Rattus norvegicus: one gene and its partners. The protein of the gene in region 5 interacts with the protein of the main gene of each other region in a biochemical or structural test. Links are inferred from orthologs where the notes say so. Each region holds a gene or a part of one and is shown on either strand. Other genes may lie near its edges.

Region 1 (4,297 bases), on a different chromosome or scaffold from region 5:
GGGTGTCACCACAACACGAGGAACTGTATTAAAGGGTCACAGCATTAGAAAGGTTGAGAACCACTGTACTAGTTCTCCTTTGAGAACTTTCTGAAAGTTTTGAGATTAATGCATTAGCAAAAGACTTGATGTTAGAAGTCCTATCCAAGAGTGCTTTCAGGGGGATGTGTGGCCTAACTGGGACAGCCACAGCCTCCTGGGCTGCTTGTTTCCTACTCTGGAGGGAGACCCTCCTCACCCTATATAGGAATGTTCCCCCTTCTTCTCCAGGTCAAGCCGCACTACAGAACTACAAAAGGTTCACTGAAGACAACACGCAGGTCTCTAGGGGAACTGGACACTATAGCAAAATGAAGTGCCTCCACCACCCTACCCCACACCCTGGCACTGGATATCGGTGCGTGTGTGTGTATGTATGTATGTATGTAAGTATGTATGTATGTATGTATGTATGTACCTGTATCTGTATCCCTCCCTCTCTCTCTCTCTCTCTCTCTCTCTCTCTCTCTCCCTCTCTCTCTCTCTGAAATGAAAGCCCCACATTCAACAAAGGAATTCATGGGGCTTCCACTGTTAGATCTGCAGGTTTTCTTGCCCTTTTGCTTACAAAATATGACTTTTTTCTTTTTGAGACAAGATCCCATGTAGCTCAGGCTGGCTTCATACTTACTATGCTGAAGAGGATGAGCTTCAACTTCTGATCTTCTTGCCTCTCGACCTCCCAAGTTCCAATTTTCCGGGTATGTACCCACACTACCACCCCTGCACTACAAACTGAGTTTGAACCAACCCTCTCCCCCCAAGCCTTTTCTTTCCTATCTACAACCCTTCTTTCCCACAGCTGCTAAGGTCTCCGGTCTGCCTGCTTCTTTCTCTCAAATGTCAACAAAGTAGTCTGCCAGCTTAAACGGGGTGGAGGGTTCAGGGAGGAGACCCACCAGGTGTGAGGGCGCATGCCTTTAAACCTAGCACTCAGGAGGCAGAGACAAGTAGACCTCTGTATGAAGCCAGAACAACCAGAGCTACATAGTGAAACTCTGTCTCAAAAAGTAAACAAAAAACATAGAAAGAGACTCCCCTATCCAGTAATCACAAGCCATGGTGGCAGCTACACCAGAACAGGGATGAATGTGAACCCGCTGTTGCCAGGGTTCAAACCCAGAGCGCTCCCATTACTGTGCTGCAAGGGTAAAGTGTAAGTAACAACTTTCTCCACTACCCGAGACTCCCCTACAGGCCCAAGGGTCCCTCTCCTTCCTCACTGCCTCCTGACCGTCCTGTGGCCGCTTTCTGCTTGCTCCTGGTCTTCTAGCTGTTTTTTGAACAGTCCTGTGCAATCCCAGGAGAAAACACTCATCGCTCCCACACCCTGAAGTCCTCCTAAGTAGGATCCTCATCCCAAATTAGACAGATGGGACTCTCACAGCCCTTCTTGCCCCACATGGGACCCCCAGGAGGTACAAGATATGCTTCTTAGCTCCTTACACACCCCATCCACCCCCAGAAAGCCCAGCTCTGTCATGGGCCTCAGAAAGGTCTGCCAAATGCAGGTGGAGGCCAGTCCCAGTGTTCACAAGGAGGGAAGTCCTCCAACCCAGTGTGTGGGCCTAGAGTGGAGGTAGGAGCCCTAGGCTTCCCCAGCCCTGCCCCCGTGGCCACCATCCCCTACTTGCTACAGAAATAAGTAACTAGAGTTCAAAGGAAGGACACAGCCTTGTAGATTGGAGTCTCCAGGAAGCTTCCAAAGTTAGCGGGCTGGGACAAGAGCTAGGCCTGCAAGAAGGTGCTGAAGGCGTGCCTAGAACAGACAGCTGCTGAGAAAACGCCTCAAGGCAGCCCTTAGGGTGGAAGGCGGCAAGCTCCTCTAAATGCTTGCTTGCAAATCCCTGAGAAATGCTTGCTTGCAAGTCAGACAGAGTCTCTGCTCAGGTGAGGCTGGGCATCAGAGGATCCTTAGGGAAAGAGAGAAGGAGCCTGGAAACAGAATAGTCAGGTCTGGAATGCCAGCGAGCCCTGAGGCCTAGACAGACCTGATTTTTGATGTGGGCTGGCTGGAGGGGAAGACAGGGTCTGCAGGGCTCTAGTACTGTCTAGCCACTGAAGCAAGCCGGGCTCCTTGGAATGTGTCTTGAGTCAAATGTAAGCTTGCAACCCGACTCCCTCCACCCCCTCGGGAAGCGACAAAGGCAAAACCAGGTCCCCGCCCTCGAGGTCCGTTTCCAGGGTCCCCGGGAAACAGGAGCGCCTGAGTGCCCCCCCCCACCATCCAGGGCGGGAAAGGCGGCACGGACCCAGCCCGGGAAGCGCAGCCACTCCTCACGCGAGAAAAGGAGACTTCACAGATCCGTGCGCTGCACAATGAAAAGTGTTCACCCGGAATCCCGGATGCCAAACAAAAGTTTCCCGAAGAAGCCAAAACGCACACAAACAATGACCCCGGGAGCCCTGCGCACTCAGGAACACACGGGACTACACAGAGCGAATGCGCGGGAATAAGGAGCACGGTGGACCCCGGAAGGTCACCGGGTTCCCCACGCGGGCTCCAGCCCCCGGCGGGCCGGGCTCCGCACCGCGCGGCAACAGGCTGGGCACCGCGGCGGGGAAGTTGCGCGCGGGGCGGGCGCGGGGCGGCGCGCTGCTCACCCACGCCGTACTTCTCCTCTCGTTTGGTGGGGACCCAGCGCGTCATGGTGGCGCTGGCCGCAGCCCACTGGAGCCGCCGCTGCCGCTGCCGCCGCCGCTGCTCGGGCAGGAAACTGTGCGCCTAGGCCGCCATCTTCCATTCCTTCCCCGCCGCGACAGGATGGGGAGGAAAAAGTTTGCGGCGGAGGCGGTGTCATGTGGGACGGGGCGGGCGGAGCGTCGCGGGCCGGATGGGAAAGGCCAGGAGCGCCGGCGAGAGGCGGGACGGCAGCCGGCTGCAGCCCGCCCAGGCGCGCGTGCCCTGGGCCGGGCTGGCCGCGTCCCTCGAGGGACCCAGGCCGCTTCCCCGAGCCCACAGACGTCCTGCACGCTGCACGCGCCGCGCAACTCGCATTCTCTACTTTTCACTGAACAGCAGGCACCTCGTACCTATTAATCTGCACCGTACACCCCTCACCCTGCACACTCTACTCTGCACCGCATTCAGCATTCTTTATTATGTACCCCACACACTACATTGAACACCAAGCATCGGCATCCTAAACACTCTGCACCCTTGCATGGTGCAGAGGCGCTGTCTTTACACACACACACACACACACACACACACACACACACACACACACACACACACACACAGAGTCCTTACAGCCCTCCGGACCTGGACCTAACACAAATAGTGGAGGATCAGAACAGAATCAGACACCAAACATGTACTCACTAGTGTGTCCTGGTGGAGAGCGCTGAAGCAGAGCTAGGAGTTCTTCGTGGTTCGTTCATTATTTCATTCATTCATTCAACAAACACAAAGTGGGCACCTATTTCGCCAGAGGCTGAACGTACTGAGCGTGCCTGGTAGCTGATGGGAGTGGTGACGTACAGTCAGCACTGGTTAAGAGAAGCCTAGGGAAAGACTTTGCAGCCCCTGGGTGTTTCTATCAACCCAGCTCCCTTTAGGTGTTGAGGGCCTGGGGCTGCACTGAGAGGCTCCAGGCTTGCACAACTTTGAGGCATTCAGTGGGAGTTGGGCCCTGCTGAAGTGGGGAAAGAGGGAAGTGGGAAGAGAAAGGAAGCCAGTCCAAGCTTAGAACAGGCAGCTCAGCCTCCTAGCAACCCTAATCTGAAGGAGGCCGGTCTCAGATTCACCCAGTGCCAGCCACCCACAAGTGCAATACTTCTGAGTTCTCCAAGGCCCGCACATAGACACACCCCAGAGTTTTCATTAGAATCCAAGAAAAGGTTAAAACTAAGGGGAGGGCTGGAATGGGGGCTCAAGTCCACGGCAATCCATTAGAAGGGGTAAACGAGATTATACCTTCTGCTGTCTGCCTTCTCTCCCTAGCATCCTAGAAACAATGACAAATACACCAGCCAAGAGACTTCAAGGACTAGAGGAACGAAGGTTTAAAAGAGTGAAGGCTACATTGTGTAAGATTGCATGTCAGAGCCAGAGAGGAGCCGACTCATCTAGAATTGGAAGGTCAGGGAGCCACTACCTGCTGTAGACGGGGCCACCCTGGCCTGGGGCAGTTATGTTAACCAGTCCAGATTGCAGCTTAAACAGCCAGGAATTCCAGGATGGACAAGGTGAGAGGAACCTCCCCTGTTCAAGATAGTATACAACTAAAATTTCTAGCAATTCAGCTGTGGGTTC
Region 2 (4,217 bases), on a different chromosome or scaffold from region 5:
TTCTATCCATCATCTTTTAACTTTCAACTTTGTCAATAAAATTGTTATTATCCCAGTTACCCAGGTTGAAAACCTTCATGTTACCTTTAACACATCCTCATTTTATATAAGAATAAGACTGGTGAAAACAGGTAAGACCAGGTTGGCCCTGAACTCAAAGAGATCCTTCTGTCTCTGGCTCCCAGGTACTGACATTAAAGTTGTGTACTAGTATACTTGGCCCAAACTGAACTCATATATGCAAGAGTACTCTTTTTTTTTTTTTTTTGGTTCATTTTTTCGGAGCTGGGGACCGAACCCAGGGCCTTGTGCTTCCTAGGTAAGCGCTCTACCACTGAGCTAAATCCCCAGCCCCGCAAGAGTACTCTTAACCAGTGTTCTTCCTCAGAGCCTGGGTTCAGTCACCAGCACCCACATAGCACCTCACAACCTTCAAGTTACAGGAAGAGAACTGATGTCCTCCTTCTTGCCTCTGTGGGTCAGGTAGGCATATGGTACACAGACGTACAGGCAGCAAAACACACATACACATAAAATTAAATTAAACGCACATACATATTAAATTAAAAAAGGAAAAACAGCCCAAACCCAGGCCCTCTGGTTATTCAGAAGTCCAGATGCAGAACCTGGACACAAATCACCCAAGCTACAAGTCCTGGGATCATCTCTTTGCATGCTACGTCACTTCCTCTGAAACTCTCTTTCCCATGACTAGTCTACACCTCTCCTCCTTCCCATTCCCCAAGCTACGTGCAGTGGGACAGTTTCTCCTTCACTTTGCTCCTATATGTATTATCACTGAAGCTAGCTTGCTACCTCCCGTCCAGTGTCTACTAGCCCGTCCTGTCTATGGATGGCACATCTCCATCACCAGCCTCTCAGGTCTTAGGATGGCTTCTGGTATTCTGCTCCTAGAACAATGCTTTTTTTTTTTTTTTTTTTTTTTTTTGCTTTTTTCTTTTTTCGGAGCTGGGGACCGAACCCAGGGCCTTGCACTTGCTAGGCAAGCGCTCTACCACTGAGCTAAATCCCCAACCCCAGAACAATGCTCTTATAATATAATATTCATTCATTTTCATTCATTCTCTCTTCTCCTCTTCTTCCTCTTCCTCCTCCTCCTCCTCTTCTTCTTCTCTCCTTCCTCTCTCTCTCTCTCTCTCTCCCCCTCTCTTTCTCTCTTTCTCTCTTTCTCTTTTTCTCTCTTTCTGTCTCTCTCTCTCCCTGGCTGCTGGGGCTTGAACTCAGGCCTCAGACAGGCTGTGTACATTGTCACTACTTTACAGTGCTGTATTCTTAATTTCCCTCATTGCACCCTTTCTTGTACTCTATTTCTGACCGCTAATTACATTATTTGTTAATTTTTATTAGCTTGTGTATATTAATAAAGACATATAAATTAATATGTGCTCAAAGTTTGTCTTTTTTTAAGAGTTTAGGCATTTGCCCCCAGGCCTGATGAAGAGTTTAATACCTGGGATCCACATGGTAGGAAAGAAATGATTCCCAAGTTGACTCCTGACCTCTACATATATGGGTGTGTGTGCGCACACACAGACATACATATGAAAAATAAATATAATTTTAAATAGTTTAGAAACAGCTTTTCTGAAGAATATGAGGCCGAGTAAGTCCCAGATTACATGGAGCACGTATGCATATATGTATACACCAATGGGGCTCAAAGAAAAACTCATGTTCATATCCACATGGAAGCCCTAACCATGCCCACCCATCTAGAGCTCCGCCAGCCATCTCAGAATCCTGTGTCCTACTCTGATAGGCAGAACAGGGTGGTTTGGCAGAGCCCTTCATTTTTAGTTTGGAGAAAATACTCTTGAAAGTAAAGAGATACTGAAAAGGGTTTCACTGTTCACCATTCTGACACTGCTCACCGCCTGATTAATAAAACACATACCGAATATGCCACAATCTCTTAAAGATTCAGTTCCTATTTCCCAATTCCTCGGGGCACGACTCGTTCCCGTCGTTAACAACCGGTTTATCCTCCCACCACCTGAACCTGAGCTCATACCTGCCTTCATCCTTCCCTTCCTGGGGATACCATCCACTGTTCGACAGTCGCCCTGTCCTGTCCCAGGACAGCAAGACATTCAAGCCTGGGTCCCTAAGACCCCTATTCCTTCTCGCCGCCGCCGCCGCCCCCAGACACTGCCAGCCAGGCTGGAGAGCCTAGCCGGGCGGGGGGAGGGGTGTGCCTCGCCTCCCGTGACTGGCCCAGATGGCAGCCGATTCCGCCCCCACTCTCGGGCACCCCTCCAGCCCTCGCCCCCCGAAGGCTGCCCGTCCGCCTCGCACCTCGTCCCGACCCCACCCCACCCCTGGCCTCCCTCACGCCCTCAGCCGGCTTAGGACACACTCACCGTGCTGGGTGAAGACGTTGAAGCCGGCGTCTGCGGTACGCCCCACCGGGTCCCGCCTGCGGCCGGAGGGCCTGGCTGCGCTGCTGCCCCGGATCCCGCGCGGCTGTGGCTGCTGGAGCCCGGGAGCCTCCCCGACGCGGCCCACCTGCTGCCCCATCCCGCCGCTCGCGTACTCCCGCGCCCCCGCCGACCCCTGCTCACATTCCTCCTCTGCTCCGGCCTCGGAGCTCCCGGCACCGCTCCGGCCTCTCCGGCCCAAACCCAGGCCCTCTGGGCCGGAGTTGCCGGCGGCTCCTCACGCAGACTCCTCAGAGCCGCTGCCGCGCGCCGTGCTGCCTCCCAGCGACTCACAGACTACCCTTCTCCCTCCCCCTCCGGCGGCTCCTCGCCCCAGCCGCCGCCGCCATCTTTAAACCACCGAGCACAGGGCGAGCGTGGGACAGAGCGTCTCCCGCCCCTCTCTCGCCCAGGCACCTCCGCTACTCGGTGGGCGGAGCTCCGTGTGGCCCCGCCCCGCCCGCGCCCCGCTGGGTTGAAGTCGAGGCCCACCCCACCGGTCCACCGAAGCTTTCTAGGGCCCTCGAAGGCTTCACCGCCACCTTTACCTACATTCGGCTCCACACACTGCCTTACTTGGAGGGGTGTGGGCGCCCAGCCTTTCTTGTCCCACCCCCACCTGTCAAGTCAGAGGAGGTTCTGAACCCACCACGTGCGCAGCTCAGCAGCAGGCAGCTGAGGCTCGTGAATCCCTGTGCTTAGCTGCCATTCAACTGAGAAGCCCTTCACACACACTCAGCATCAGGTCTAGGGTGAAGTTTGAAATAGTACAAAATTCACCGGGAGATGGTAAAGTGCGGGGTTAACTTAATTTGAATTATTTCTTGATGTGCACTTTGCAGACTTCTTGGCAAAGCCGTTGTAGCCCAATTCCTCATACTACCTTGGATTTCTCTTGAACTCTTCCACCATCTCCCTAACCGCATGTGTTTCTGTTTACTTTAAAACGCCTAACAGTAAAGCTAATCTTCCCACAGATGTGCAGTGCAGGATGTCAGGCACTCCTTTGTTGACCAGGAAAACGTAATCACTTTGACCTGAGTCAGAACTTACTCATCTTTACCTTCTGGTATCTAAATAGAGAAACAGGCAGAAGAGAAGTTTTTTTTTTATAGGAGTGCACCCTGTGTGCAGTTGTCTCCCCATCCCAACCCACTACGAGTTCTATTAACTTAATATTTAGCCAGTTTTTTCAATTCTCAAAGACTCGATGACGCTTATTTCTCGCTATTCCTTTTTCTTCCTTGTTTGTTTTGTTCTTTAAAAGGATCAGTTACTAGACTTGGCACTTGAACTTTTGCTTTCGAATGAGGACTGGAGCCATTGCTTAAATAGAGGAAAACAGCCCTAAGGAAGAGAAGAGTTAGCAAAAATAGATGTAGTTCCCCTTACGTGTGTTTTGTAGAACTGTGTAAGATCACAAGCGTGTGTTGGTGAGATTCGAACTCAGGACCTTGAGTTCCAGGCAAATGCTCTACCACTTGCTACTGCCCAAATTCCAGCTGATTTTGATACAGATATTCACTATTAAAGAGCCTTAGGGGCTGGGGAAAGATGGGTTAATGACAAAAAAAAAAAAAAAAAAAATACTTGCACTGCAAGCCTGACCACCTGAACTTGGAGTTCCACACAAGATACTAGTCATAGTGAAAAGCCAGAAGCACTAGCCCAAGCTTTATGATCCTAGCTGGTCTACAAGAAGAGGGAAGGTTGGGGTTGGGGATTTAGCTCAGTGGTAGTGGGTTCAGTCCCCAGCTCCGGAAAAAAAAGGAAAAAAAA
Region 3 (4,177 bases), on a different chromosome or scaffold from region 5:
GCTTAGAAAGCCACAGGGAGCTGTCAACAGCTCTCTGGGCTCCAGCCTGAAATTAGTGAGGCCAGGCAGGGTGATGGTCATTTTTACCAATCTGAATGTTGCCAGGCCTGCTAGTTCCTACCCTGCCTTAGCTCCATTGTCATGTGACTGTGGCCACTTCCGGTCCTCCCTCAGGACCAGCACATAGGACATGCTCACACCGGGCAGCCTCTGTGTTCCTTGAAAGGGCCCATCTCCCAAGAAAGGGCACGGTAGAGGCTAGATGGGCTACCCAGTTTCACAGGAGAGAAGCCATAGCAGAGCCATGCTGCAGTGGGGCTGCTCTGCACAGGCCTTGCCCTTCACCGTACCGTGGCAGGGCAGCCAACCTCTCGTTACTTGTGGACATGGGTCCGAGATGGCAGCAGTCATTTTCAAGTGCGAACTCCAAGTTAGGCCAACACTTGGAGGAGGCAGAAGCAGATGGCTTTCAGTATGAGTTCAAGGTAAGCCTGGTCTACAGAGTAAATTCCAGGGTATTCAGGGCTATACAATGAGATCTTATCTCAAACACCAAAACAAAACCCTGTCCAGGCCCTGCTTGGATACCCAGGAAATCACATCAACTCAACCTATTTCATCCCAAGTTCTCTCTGCAGTGGTCTCCCACTGCCGCCTGTTAGCATCTTGTAATTTCTGTGGGCCAAAGTGCTTGCGTCAGCTCTATACAGGGAAAGACTGCCCAAATGAATGGGTGTGCTTAAAACTCAAACGTGTCCCTAAGTACCACATGGCCAGTCACCATTCTGGGCTCCCTGGGCAGGCAGATCTTTCTAGAAGTCCACCCGGGCTCCCAGCATATGAAAGCTTCAGAAATGACCTCTCCATAGCCCCACCACCTTGCACACTACTTAGGGCCCAGGATAGAGGACAATGGCCTGACAGTCTAGTCTAGCTACACACTGTGCAGAATTACTGAGGGCTGTGGCTACAAGCGAACGGGAGAGAAGTGACTTGGAGTGGATCGTGGTAGGGACAGACCTTCACTTTAGTTCTTCACAGTGATTCTCACCTGTACAAACCCCTTATCCTCTCCAGTTATAGATGGTACCACCGTGGCACACAGCAGAGGGCGACTACCTGAAATCTCGTGAGATAAGGGTCTGCGTGCCGTCTAAGACACATGTCCCATACAGAGCTCTATACCTAGGCTAGACTACTAAACCAATCCTGGACCTCCCGACCAGAGGCCTGTCCAGAGGGGTACTCCATGGTCATTACAGCCTTGGGGACCCTGGCCCTCCAGCACACTCAGCAGGTCTGTCTTGTTTTCCTGGCCAATGTCCACAGAGGCGGAGTTGGTCGGTGCCCTATGCCCCAAGCTGGAGAAAACCCTGAGCTTTGCAGAACAGCAGAGCAGAACAGCAGAGAGGTTTGGCAGGCTTTCTCCGTCTCTTCCTAGAGATGAGACAATTATGCTTTGAACCAGAAGAGATGGGGGTGGGGGCTCCCATCAGCGCGGCCTGGAAGCCCTAATTTTTTCATCTGTAACTCAGTATTACCGCTTCTGGGGGCGGGCAGGAGCTGAGATCTTTAATTCTGTAATAACAATGCTTTGCCCTGACAGAACCCTCTCCTCTCCAGCAATCTCCATACTCTATGGTGCTTAATTAAGAAGCCACTTGCCCCGCCAACTAACGGCATCACGGAGAGAACCCAGTCTCCGGAGTCGATCCAGAGCAGAATAAGGGCAGGCTAGGCAAGGCTCTGGCCCATTGCCCCTTCCTGTCATTGGGGAAAAGGCCTGAGTCAGCAGAGAAATGGTGGCTGCAGGCCATGACTCCGGGGCAGACAGGATGAAGGTGTGGCCTCACACCTCTGTGTGTCCATCTGTAAAGTGGGTTGGAGCCTGTGCCTGAGTCCACCCCCCTGGTAGAATAATCACTGGCCACCTCAGGAGGAGACCCAAGGTCCTAGTGTTAAGGACTGGACCAAGGGCTTCTCGAGTGTGTCTGGTGGATTGGGAAGACAGAAGACGAGATGTCAAGCAAAGGGGGAAGCCCCTACAGAAAGCAGCTGCTAATCAAAAGGCCCTGTAGTTCAATGGGCCAACAAAACTTCCCACAAAGTGAATGTACAAACCAGAGGTAGGGGGAGGTACGCTATTTCCATTAGCCTGCCAAGCCAACCATTCTGGGGTAAGGGTGTCTCCGGGGACAGAACAGACCCCGCCCCACGCCTGGCCATCCGGGTAGGGACCAGAGAGCACAATAGGGCAGCCCTCCCAGGGAGTTTTCTGGGGGAACCGCACAGACCTTCCCACCACTCGGCCCAGCTGACCTGGCCATGGGTTTCTAAGAAGTGACAGAGCCCTCTTTTCGGTAGGCCTGACCACTCTGGTAGGAGGTCGGGGAAAGGCACGGACCCCGCCGAGCCCACCAGTCCCAGAGGCTCTCAGGAGCACCCCTAAAGCCCCCTGCCCAACCCAGCCGTGCCCCGGAGCTCCCGGTGGGGCCAGTGCGGCTCCCCGTCCTACTCGGCTGTCCTGGAGGAGGCTGGAAAAGCCGTGTCAGAGATGCCGGTTATGGGGCGGTGCCCCCACCCTGACCCCCACCTCGGCTTGAAAAGAACCTCCGGCGACCCCCGGTGGCCCAGGCCTACGGCGGGGGGGAGCAGGGTCTCAGGCGGTCAGCACTCACCGGCACGGTCATCTTGGCCACCGCTCCCGGGGCCCTGCGGCAGCGGCGCGGGCTAGCTCGGGCTCGGTGGGCCCGCGCCGCTCACAGCCCCCGGCGCGGGGTCCCGGCGCTCTCCGCTGCCCGCGGGTTGCTTTCAGCCACCGGACTGTCCGGCCGCTCCCCCCGCGCCGCGCATGCGCTGCCCGCGCCGCCCCTCCCCCTCCCGCCTGCTGCGCCGCCGGCCGCGTTAAAGGCGAGGACCCGGGACCCCGGCATTTTTCTGTCGGCACAACTGGGTGAGAAGGCTGAGTTCCCACACCTTGCCTGTCCTTCCAAAGGCCACCTCCAGACTCACTATTAGACAATCCCATCCGGTCCGCCCACCCGGTTCTGAGACTAGAACCCCCACCCCCACACATCACGTCCCTCAGTGCGGGTCCCAAGACGCCTACAATCCTAGTTTGGGAGCAGATTAGTCTGGCTGAAGGCGATCTTAGATCAGCCTAGGAAGCAGCCTGACTTAACATTGGATACCCCTGAAAGTAAAATCTACAGTGGCTTTTTTTTTTTAAAGGGTTTTTTTTTTTAATTTTCTAGAAGATTTATTCATTTATATACAAGTACACTGTAGCTGTCTTCAGACACACCAGAAGAGGGCATCAGATCCCACCACAGACGGCCGTGAGCCACCACGTGGCTGCCGGGACCTGAACTCAGGACCTCTGGAAGAGCGGTCAGTGCTCCCAACCAGTGAGCCATCCCTCCAGCCCTCTACAGTGGCTTTTAGGGAGGGTCCCACAATGGGCCCCCCTGCCCAAGGCTGGAAGACAGACAGGCCTTCGGGGACCTGAACCTTCCTTTCCTCCTTGTTAATCACCCCTAATTTCTTCAGCTGTTTCACACTTGGTACAATGCCCAAACATGCACCTGCAAGCACAAGGCACACGGGCTTCCGACTGCCACACCTTGCTGCTTTCACCTTCCCTCTCAGTACACTGAGGCTCGGAGCTCCACTGGCTACCAAAGGCATAAGGCCCCGCGGTCTGCTCTGCTTGCTGCCCAACACATTCAGCCTGTCACTGCTCCATGGGACCTCTTCCTGAGCAAGGCCAGACCCAGATAGTTAATGGCTGCCATGCCCTGAGTAGGAGAGTGCATTCTTACATCAAGTGGGAACTGGACTCTATGGCTTTGTCTACTGCTTCCTAAGGGAGCCCCATGAGAGGATCACAAGAGGACCACGAGAGGGCAAGAGCTTCAGCTAGCTAGCATATAGTACCTGGGGACAAAGCTGCTTCGGCGGCCGCTGCTGCTGCTTCCACCTCTTCCTCTTCCTCCTTTCTCCTTTCTTCCTCATCCTCTTCCTCCTTCCCATTCCCCTCCTCCTCCTCCCCTTCCTTTCCTCCTCCTCCCCCTCGTCTGGTTTATTTCATTTTTGGTGTGTGAGTATTTGTAAATCCGTGTATGCACAGCGTGTGCCTACCTGCTGCATTCAGAGGTCAGAAGACAGCATGGGATCC
Region 4 (3,400 bases), on a different chromosome or scaffold from region 5:
CTAGGGTTTTTCCAGGACAATATGGGGAGATTCACATAAAGGACTCAAAGGACTGCTGGCCTGGCCCTGTGGTGGCAGCCAGCTTGTCCTCCAGTTACAAGTCAGGAAGCAGGTACTCCCCAGGCCACAAGAAGGAGGCTGTCAATCCAGCCTCCTTGGCAGAAGGGGTAGGCTTCAACGTCACCCTACTCAGCATGGTCTACATGTGTCATGTCCCGGATGGATCCGCTCAGGGAACCACTGGGAAGCCAGGCTTCCATGAGGAGCTGCAGGAGCAGTGCTGGCTGGAAGCCAGAGCTCAGTCTGCATTCTGGTACTGAGTGCTGTTGTCCCCTGTTAGGTAGCAATGACCCTACCAGGCAGATGACTGTGAGGACCCACCCTGTGAGGTTCCGGCCAAGCTATTCAGCTAGCCCTGGACTTGCTGACTGCCCCTCTCCCACCAGGCACTATGAAATCCGGAGAAACGACGACATCATAAACTTCTTCAATGACTTCAGCGACCACCTGGCCGAGGAAGCCCTATGGGAACTCTCTCTGAAGATCAAGCCTAGGAACATAACAAGGCGGAAAACAGACCGTGAAGAGAAGACCTAGGAGCAGGCTGGCTGTGAGGATGCTCAAGCAGCCAGGAGAGGACCTGGACCGTCCCAGCCTCAGAGCCTGTCCATGGCTTGGCTGTGTGGCAGCACCGAGTCTGCCGGCCGGTTTCCTGCCTCCTTCCCTATGGCTAAAGCCCCAGGGTTCACAGTGAGCTGGCTGGCAGGCCTCAGGACTGGCTTGTGTACTGGTGGCCCCTGGTCTGGTTTTGTTTTCTGTTTTCTGTCGATGCTCCGTCCTGTTCCCTACTGTCCCCTCCAACAGGGAGCAGAAGAAACCTGAGCAGCAGACCAGGGGAGTGGCTGGCTTCCTTCCTCCCTCCCAAGGCTGTCTTTGCCTTCTTAAGTGGCAGATAAGTAGAGGCCCCACCCAGGCCCCTTGGGTAGACCGCCCTCCAGGGTACCTGGAGCCAGAGGAGATAGGGCTGGGAGGTGGAAGAAGGAGAAAAGGGCCACAGCAGGCATCTTTCACTGTCCATTTCCTGCCTTTTAGACATGGAGGATGAGGATGTCGACCTGGCGTGAAAGTATCATGGGATAGGCAGCAGCCAGAGCTGACACTTGTCACAGTACTGGCCCCAGCCCTGTCCTGCCAGGCATGGTCCACCAAGGCTCACCTGCTGGACTGACAGCAGCACCAGTTGCACCTTCCACCCTGTTGCCCCACCACTGTCCAGCCCCAGCCCAGCCCACATCAGCGGTTCTCTGGGGATCAGGAACAGGAGGCAGAAGGGAGAGTTCATGCTGAGCTGGGGCCAAGGCTATGCTTCCAAGTGGCTCAGAGAGTGAGGATCTTTAGTGACCTAGGGAGAGGCAAGCAGCCTCTCCGTGCTTGCTGTGTGCCTTAAATGCCATCTCCTGTTCCTTCCAGCCTGGGGCTTCCCTCCTCCTGTGCCCCACCCCTGGCAGCCAGCAGGGTCCTGGGCCCTTTTTGCTCCCTGGGAATGTCTCCTGTTCCCAAGGCTAAAGAAGCCTAGGATGTGAGGCCTCCAGGGGCTCCTGATTCCAGACAGGTGGCAGAGCCACCCCTGCTGCTGAGGTTGACAATCTGTTCAGGGCTCAGGACTGGGATCTCCCTGGCCATGGTCCCACGGCCTCACTGTAGGCTGATTGGCAGGGTGCAGGTCAGAATGCAGAGGTGCTGCTGGCCCTGCACCATCCCTCCAGTTCAGGTTTGCATGGACAGGCACCCTCATCTTCTGGTCATGGGGCTTGGCCAAGTGGATCCCAGGATTTCTGTGCTTCCCAGCCCAGTCGTCAGAGCAGAAGAAAAGACAGCAGCAGCTGCTGGCCGGGTACTAATTTGAAACAGCTGTCACTCTGAACCCTTCCTGGGTTGGTTTTTTGTTTTGTTTTTGTTTTTAAAGCAGCTTTTATCAAATAAGAACTATAGGACCCTCTTCTGTTTATTTGTGCTGTAAATAGAAAGGGGACATCTGTAAACAGCCCCTTGGCCAGCTCCCTCTGGCAGCAGCCGGTACTGGATTGTTTATGGAGCGTTTGTGGAGTCAGGCTTGTGAACAGTCGCGTGGGTCTTTGGTGTGTTCCTCTTTTACAGGTCCTTTCATTTCAGTCTTTGCTCCTACTTGCTGTCCTTCACCAGCTCTAGGTGCTGCTGTGTGCGAGTGGGGAACACTGTGCACACGGGGTCTTTCCTCCCAGCGCTTTAGAGGCCCCTGCAGCCTCCCTCTGTAGCACAGGCCAACATAGGCCCAGCCTACTGGTGCTGCAGCCAACAGAGCGGCTCTGTGGTCTGTGTCTACTGGTTCCCAAACATGAGCTGGCTAGAAAGGAAGGCTCTCCTTCCAGACCAGAAAAGCCAGGCCCTCCTACAATCCTGGGAGCCTTAGGCAGACTAAGTCAAGGGCCAGGGCACGTCTGGAGTTTCTGTGTGGGGATGTTGAGGTGCGATGTGTGGGTTTAACTTATTAGCCAGCAGGCTTCCCCAGTCACCTGCCTCTGGCTGCGGCTGAGCCCAGTGTTCCCGCAGCCTGGCTTCCACATGTCTGTTTTTTAGGGGTGGGGGGCTGGGAGAGCTGTGAAGATGGGTCTTTATAGATATACTAAGCAGCATGGACAATTCGGTTCCCAGCAGAGGCCAGCCCTTACCTGTGGATATGGTCTGACCAAGGCTAGGGCAAGCAAACACCATGTCTGACTGACCCTTAAGTCTCCCAGTGTGGCACTGTAATATAACCCCCCACTCACCTGTCTGACAATGCATCTTCCTACAGACAGAACAGCGCGCAACTTTTATATGAAAGAAAAATAAACAGACAAAAGCCCGTCTGATGCCACGTCTGTGTCCAGGCTTTCTCTATCAGGCTGCGTTGGGCCAGTCCCTGCTATGTGTGACCAAGGGGAAGGGAAGTGGGTAAGGTAAGGTGGGCTGAGCTCTGGTAAGCATTGGGAGCCCATGTGCTAGGAGAGAACTGACTCCTGCAAGTTGTCCTCTGACGGCCGCGCACACACTGTCATGGGAGTGAGCAGAGGAGGACTAAAGCCCTGGGCCTTAAAACTCCTCCCTTCACCGCCTCTGCTTCTGAGGGTCGTTCAATCCTGTGTCTTCCGAATTCAAGTGCTGAGAAAGACCAAAATACCACACCCAAAGGACAGCTCACAGCCAGCACCTGACTCTGAAGAGAGACCTCAGCAGTTAAGAGCGCTGGCTGCTCTTCCAGAAGACCCGAGTTCAATTCCCAGCATCTGTGATTTGTAACTCCAGTGCCCTCTTCTGACCTCTTTCAGCACCACACATGCAGTGCACACTCATGATGACGAAGCACTCGTCCACAAAATCT
Region 5 (3,987 bases):
GTCAGGACAACTCTGAGGTGTTCCTTCTCTTATCCAACCCCGGGATTGAGGATCAAACAAGACCCTCAAGCTGGCAAAGCTGTGCTTTTGCCTACTGAGCCACTCTGCGGGATCTCAGAGCACTCAGATGGCAGAAGCAAGAATTCTCCTGAGTTCAAAGCCAGCCTAGTTTATATGGTTGCAGACCAGCTAGGGCTGCAGAGTGAAACCCTGTTTCAAAACAAAAGAATGGAGTTCCCTATGTGCACCCCAGGGATTCCAAAGCAAATAAACAAAGAATACCAAAATTATACAATAGTCAGTTCTCAGGTCACACTGTCTAGTTCAAATTCTGGTTTATATGCTAAATGTTACAGGTTACTGGATTTCTAGTTCTTCTCCCCACCTCCAAATGAAAATGTTTTAATAAATGGAGATTGCAGAATTTCACTCATTGGATTGTTTTACTGATGGTGAATTATATAAGGCACATTTAGCAAAGCATGTAGCATACAATAGTCAGTCAATAAGTGTAAACTATTAAAATTATATATGTCTCTCTAAAACTCAAGTAATTCCTGTGTGGCTTCAAAAGAAAAACAGTTTAATGGATGGCAGAACAGCGATTAAGTGACCATCATAAAGACAGCAAGTGAATTGAGTGTCCTACAGAGAAAATGGGGAACACGACAGAACAAATTGCCACAAAGCCAATGAACTTTCCACACCTAACCCACAAACTGGCAATCTTCTCCTCTCCTAGGCCAAACACCTATTTTGAAAAGGTGGAGCTACCGAGATATAAAACCACAAGCCTGCCTGATGCTAGTCCCACATTTTCAAACAAGGAGAAAACTGAGGACCGAGTCCCTCACCCCCAGCTATTGGGAATAAAACCTAGCCTCCCCAAATGTCAGGCAAATAAACTACCACTCAACTATATCCCTAGTCACACCCCCTAACATAACTTTTTATTTTGAGGCAGAATCTTGCTAAGTTTCCCAGATGACCTGGAACTTGTAAAATCTTGCCTCAGCCTCCTAGGTGCTGGGATTAAAAGCATGAATTATGAAACTTGGCTGAGAATTGAATTTCAACAATAACATTTCATCTTACTACTGCCCTTAACACAAAACAACAGATTATTTTACAGATAGCACAAAAATAGAATTTACTATGTTTAGGGCAATTGTGTTGTATCTGATTTTATATTATTAAACCAACAGACACAAAAAGACTAAGAAGACTTCAGTACTCAAATTTTCCCCTTACTTGTGTGCCAACACCAAGAACTGTTTATCCCACCTCTACCTCCTCATTTGTGGCCAAAGGGAGTAAGTCTAAATTAGGATGATCCTAAAAGGAGGTCTACTAAACGGCTAACCAGGGAGTCTCCATTCATGAGATTAGCTCAGCTCTAGGAGGAACAAGCTTGCACTTCAAACATCCAGAAAGCAAGAAGCTTGGTGCCAACACACAGAGACAACAGTAATCTCAGAATCACTGTGCATCTCACAAACTTCAAGGACGAAGTGCATGAATTTCCTTAACATTGCCAAGACAACTGCAATAATACAGCTGAGACAATTACAACTCAATGGTCCTCGATGAGGAAAACACAGCGGGATAATTATTCTTGGTGTATCTGCCAGCTAGGTCTGCTCTCATATCCTGGAAGATTTTGACCACAGCACCAACTTAGCAAGAAAAGACCCAGAAGTACGTTGACTGACACTGTTTAAGCCCAGGAAGAATGAAATTCCATTCACTTCCAAGGTTGTTCTCCCTGGCCTATGCTTGGTTTATTTCCTAAAGGAAAAAAAAAACCTTCCTCCACTAATCACTTTGAAACTAGAAACTCTACGTGCAGCGGGCAGTCTTTTGGACACTTAAAACCTCTTGGACACAATTTGCCAGCTAGGCTTCAATTACGCTGGGCTGGTCACAGAAAGCTTTTTTTCTATTACCAAGTCACTTAGTTCACCACCTTCCACAAGGGAAGAGCACGGTAAAAAGATTTTGGAAAAATGCCCAAGAAAGGAAAAAGCTGACCGGCTTCCTGAGGGTGTCTCCATCCCTCCCAGCCAGCCAAGTACGTGGTGACTTCCTACCGAAGGCCACCAGGGGAGTATGGCCAAACCCAGCTCTAACACTGCAGGAAACGTTTCAAGCCTAAAAGCCACTTGTAGGATTAGCAGATCCATTCTGGGCATCTCTGCCAAATGATGTCCCCGCAACATCCCCATTAACTCTTTGTCCCCAAGTTGCCTGGCCCTGCCCTGCCCTGCCCTTGGGCCTGACCCTGGCGCCCAGCCCCACCCCGGGGCCGCAGCAGTTCCCCTTCCCCGGCTCCCAAGGCACACCCAGAGGCCTCGGTGAGCAGCTCCTCCTCCCCCACAATCCCGCTCATCGGTGGGAACCAGCTTGGTCAGAAGGCAGCTCCCCCGCCAGGTTCACTCCAGCCCTCTCTGCCCACGTCCCTCCTGCAGCCGACCAGGGTTCTAGGGCCTTCACCCCCGCCCGGGCCTCCCGCCCGTCTGTCCCTCACCCGGCGGAGGCTGAGCGGGCGACGGAGGCACTGGAGGGCGCGGGCCGCTGCTGTTGATGATGTAGTGGGAGACGCGCGAGTTTTCGGAGACGCTGAGCACATAGTCCCCGGGGCTGGTGCTCGAGTCCCGCACCAGGAAAACCCCGTGCCGCTGGCCCTGCAATAGCGCCACCGCCTCCTGCCGGCTCAAGCGGCCCCAGTACCAGCTACTCCGCTCCTCCGAGTCGAAGTTGCCTGCCATGGCCGCCTCCGCGCCTTCACGCTGGGCCGCCGCCGGCACGCGCGCCCCTCCAGCCCTGGCGCCCGCCGCCCAGCGGACCGGCTCCGGTGTAAGCCTCCCAGCAGCGCCCGAAATGGCGGCGGCAGCCGCGGGCCTTCCCCACCGGAAATGACGCGCTCTCTACCCGAGGGAGGCTGCCGGGAAGGGGACCGCCGCCCGCCATTGGGAGAAGGGAAACGGAGTCCTTGGGGCCCGCAGTGCGCATGCGTCCTCATGGGCGTCGCCGCCCGGTCCAGAACCCCAACGGCGGAGGATGGGGAGGCGGAGTCTAGGTTTAAGGGGCGGAGCCTCAATCTTCAGACTGACTGGTGTTTGACTAACTGGTGTTTGACAGATTGGTAGAGGCGGTCTTTCTCCCAGGACCTACAGGTAGCAGCTCCAGTAAAAGGACTGGAGTAAAAAAGATGATGTGGTCCCAGGATGCCCTCAAAGCTCCCTAACAAGCTGGTCTTTCCCGGTGTTTCCTTCGGTTTCCCCGGAGGTCAGTCGAAGTTCTTGCTATCTAGGAGTAGCCATAGATAACACATTTGCCTTGCAGGTGCAGTACTGACCTAGACTGAGCCTTAAGTCACCGAATTCACAGACCAGTGGGAGGGATCAGGAAACCATTAATGTCTGCTGTGATGGGAAACAGAGACACAAGGAAATCAACTAAGTAATCCTAGAGGAATCCAAGGGCCGGGTAAAGTGACTATGACAGTAATCCCAACCCTTAGGAAACTGAGACAGGAGGATCACTGTGTTTCAGGCCCTATATTATAAAACGAAAGCAAATAAGAACAAGGAGTCCACAGATGAGATGGTGTAGGTTGAATGGTTCGGTGTTGAATGGCAAGTGGGGAAGGGTACTTAAGGCAAAGAAAACAAAATGTCCAGCCAGGCAAAGCAATGGAGTTCTCTCTATGGGAGCTCCCATGTCAACCAGCCAGATCCTTTTAAACTCTCATTTGTAGCCAGAGGAATCTCCTAGTTTCACTTCCTTCATGATCATCATCTATCTCAAAAAAAATTTTTAATGAAAAAATACTGGGGAGTGGGGTGTTCAGGATAGGGTTTCTCTGATAGCTCTTGCTCTCCTGGAACTCACTTTATAGAGCAGGCTGACCTTGAACTCAAAGATCCACCTGCCTCTGCCTCCCCAGTGCTGGGATCAAAGGTATGCACCACCTCTGCCTAGCCA

The links.
Region 1: the proteins of Crk (region 5) and Dock1 form a complex in vitro, tested with the Homo sapiens proteins (3 studies listed by BioGRID and IntAct, with this or other methods). The link is inferred for Rattus norvegicus from reciprocal best matches to the Homo sapiens genes CRK and DOCK1.
Region 2: of the proteins of Crk (region 5) and Abl2, one has a biochemical effect on the other in vitro, tested with the Homo sapiens proteins (2 studies listed by BioGRID and IntAct, with this or other methods). The link is inferred for Rattus norvegicus from reciprocal best matches to the Homo sapiens genes CRK and ABL2.
Region 3: the proteins of Crk (region 5) and Bcar1 form a complex in vitro, tested with the Homo sapiens proteins (2 studies listed by BioGRID, with this or other methods). The link is inferred for Rattus norvegicus from reciprocal best matches to the Homo sapiens genes CRK and BCAR1.
Region 4: the proteins of Crk (region 5) and Rapgef1 form a complex in vitro, tested with the Homo sapiens proteins (4 studies listed by BioGRID, with this or other methods). The link is inferred for Rattus norvegicus from reciprocal best matches to the Homo sapiens genes CRK and RAPGEF1.

What each region holds. Positions count from the first base shown.
Region 1 is NC_086019.1:198,895,555-198,899,851, reverse strand, and holds the start of Dock1 (dedicator of cytokinesis protein 1), read right to left. Parts: upstream 2,808-4,297; 5' UTR 2,690-2,807; coding exon 2,644-2,689; intron 1-2,643. UniProt on the Homo sapiens protein: Involved in cytoskeletal rearrangements required for phagocytosis of apoptotic cells and cell motility. Along with DOCK1, mediates CRK/CRKL regulation of epithelial and endothelial cell spreading and migration on type IV collagen.
Region 2 is NC_086031.1:71,222,539-71,226,755, reverse strand, and holds the start of Abl2 (tyrosine-protein kinase ABL2), read right to left. Parts: upstream 2,808-4,217; 5' UTR 2,539-2,807; coding exon 2,382-2,538; intron 2,321-2,381; exon of another isoform or gene 2,112-2,320; coding exon of another isoform or gene 2,033-2,111; intron 1-2,032. UniProt on the Homo sapiens protein: Non-receptor tyrosine-protein kinase that plays an ABL1-overlapping role in key processes linked to cell growth and survival such as cytoskeleton remodeling in response to extracellular stimuli, cell motility and adhesion and receptor endocytosis.
Region 3 is NC_086037.1:56,620,381-56,624,557, forward strand, and holds the start of Bcar1 (breast cancer anti-estrogen resistance protein 1), read right to left. Parts: upstream 2,811-4,177; 5' UTR 2,691-2,810; coding exon 2,679-2,690; intron 1-2,678. UniProt on the Homo sapiens protein: Docking protein which plays a central coordinating role for tyrosine kinase-based signaling related to cell adhesion. Implicated in induction of cell migration and cell branching. Involved in the BCAR3-mediated inhibition of TGFB signaling.
Region 4 is NC_086021.1:33,411,224-33,414,623, forward strand, and holds the end of Rapgef1 (Rap guanine nucleotide exchange factor 1), read left to right. Parts: intron 1-446; coding exon 447-597; 3' UTR 598-2,896; downstream 2,897-3,400. UniProt on the Homo sapiens protein: Guanine nucleotide-releasing protein that binds to SH3 domain of CRK and GRB2/ASH. Transduces signals from CRK to activate RAS. Involved in cell branching and adhesion mediated by BCAR1-CRK-RAPGEF1 signaling and activation of RAP1.
Region 5 is NC_086028.1:61,027,737-61,031,723, reverse strand, and holds the start of Crk (adapter molecule crk), read right to left. Parts: upstream 2,808-3,987; 5' UTR 2,769-2,807; coding exon 2,528-2,768; intron 1-2,527. UniProt on the Homo sapiens protein: Involved in cell branching and adhesion mediated by BCAR1-CRK-RAPGEF1 signaling and activation of RAP1.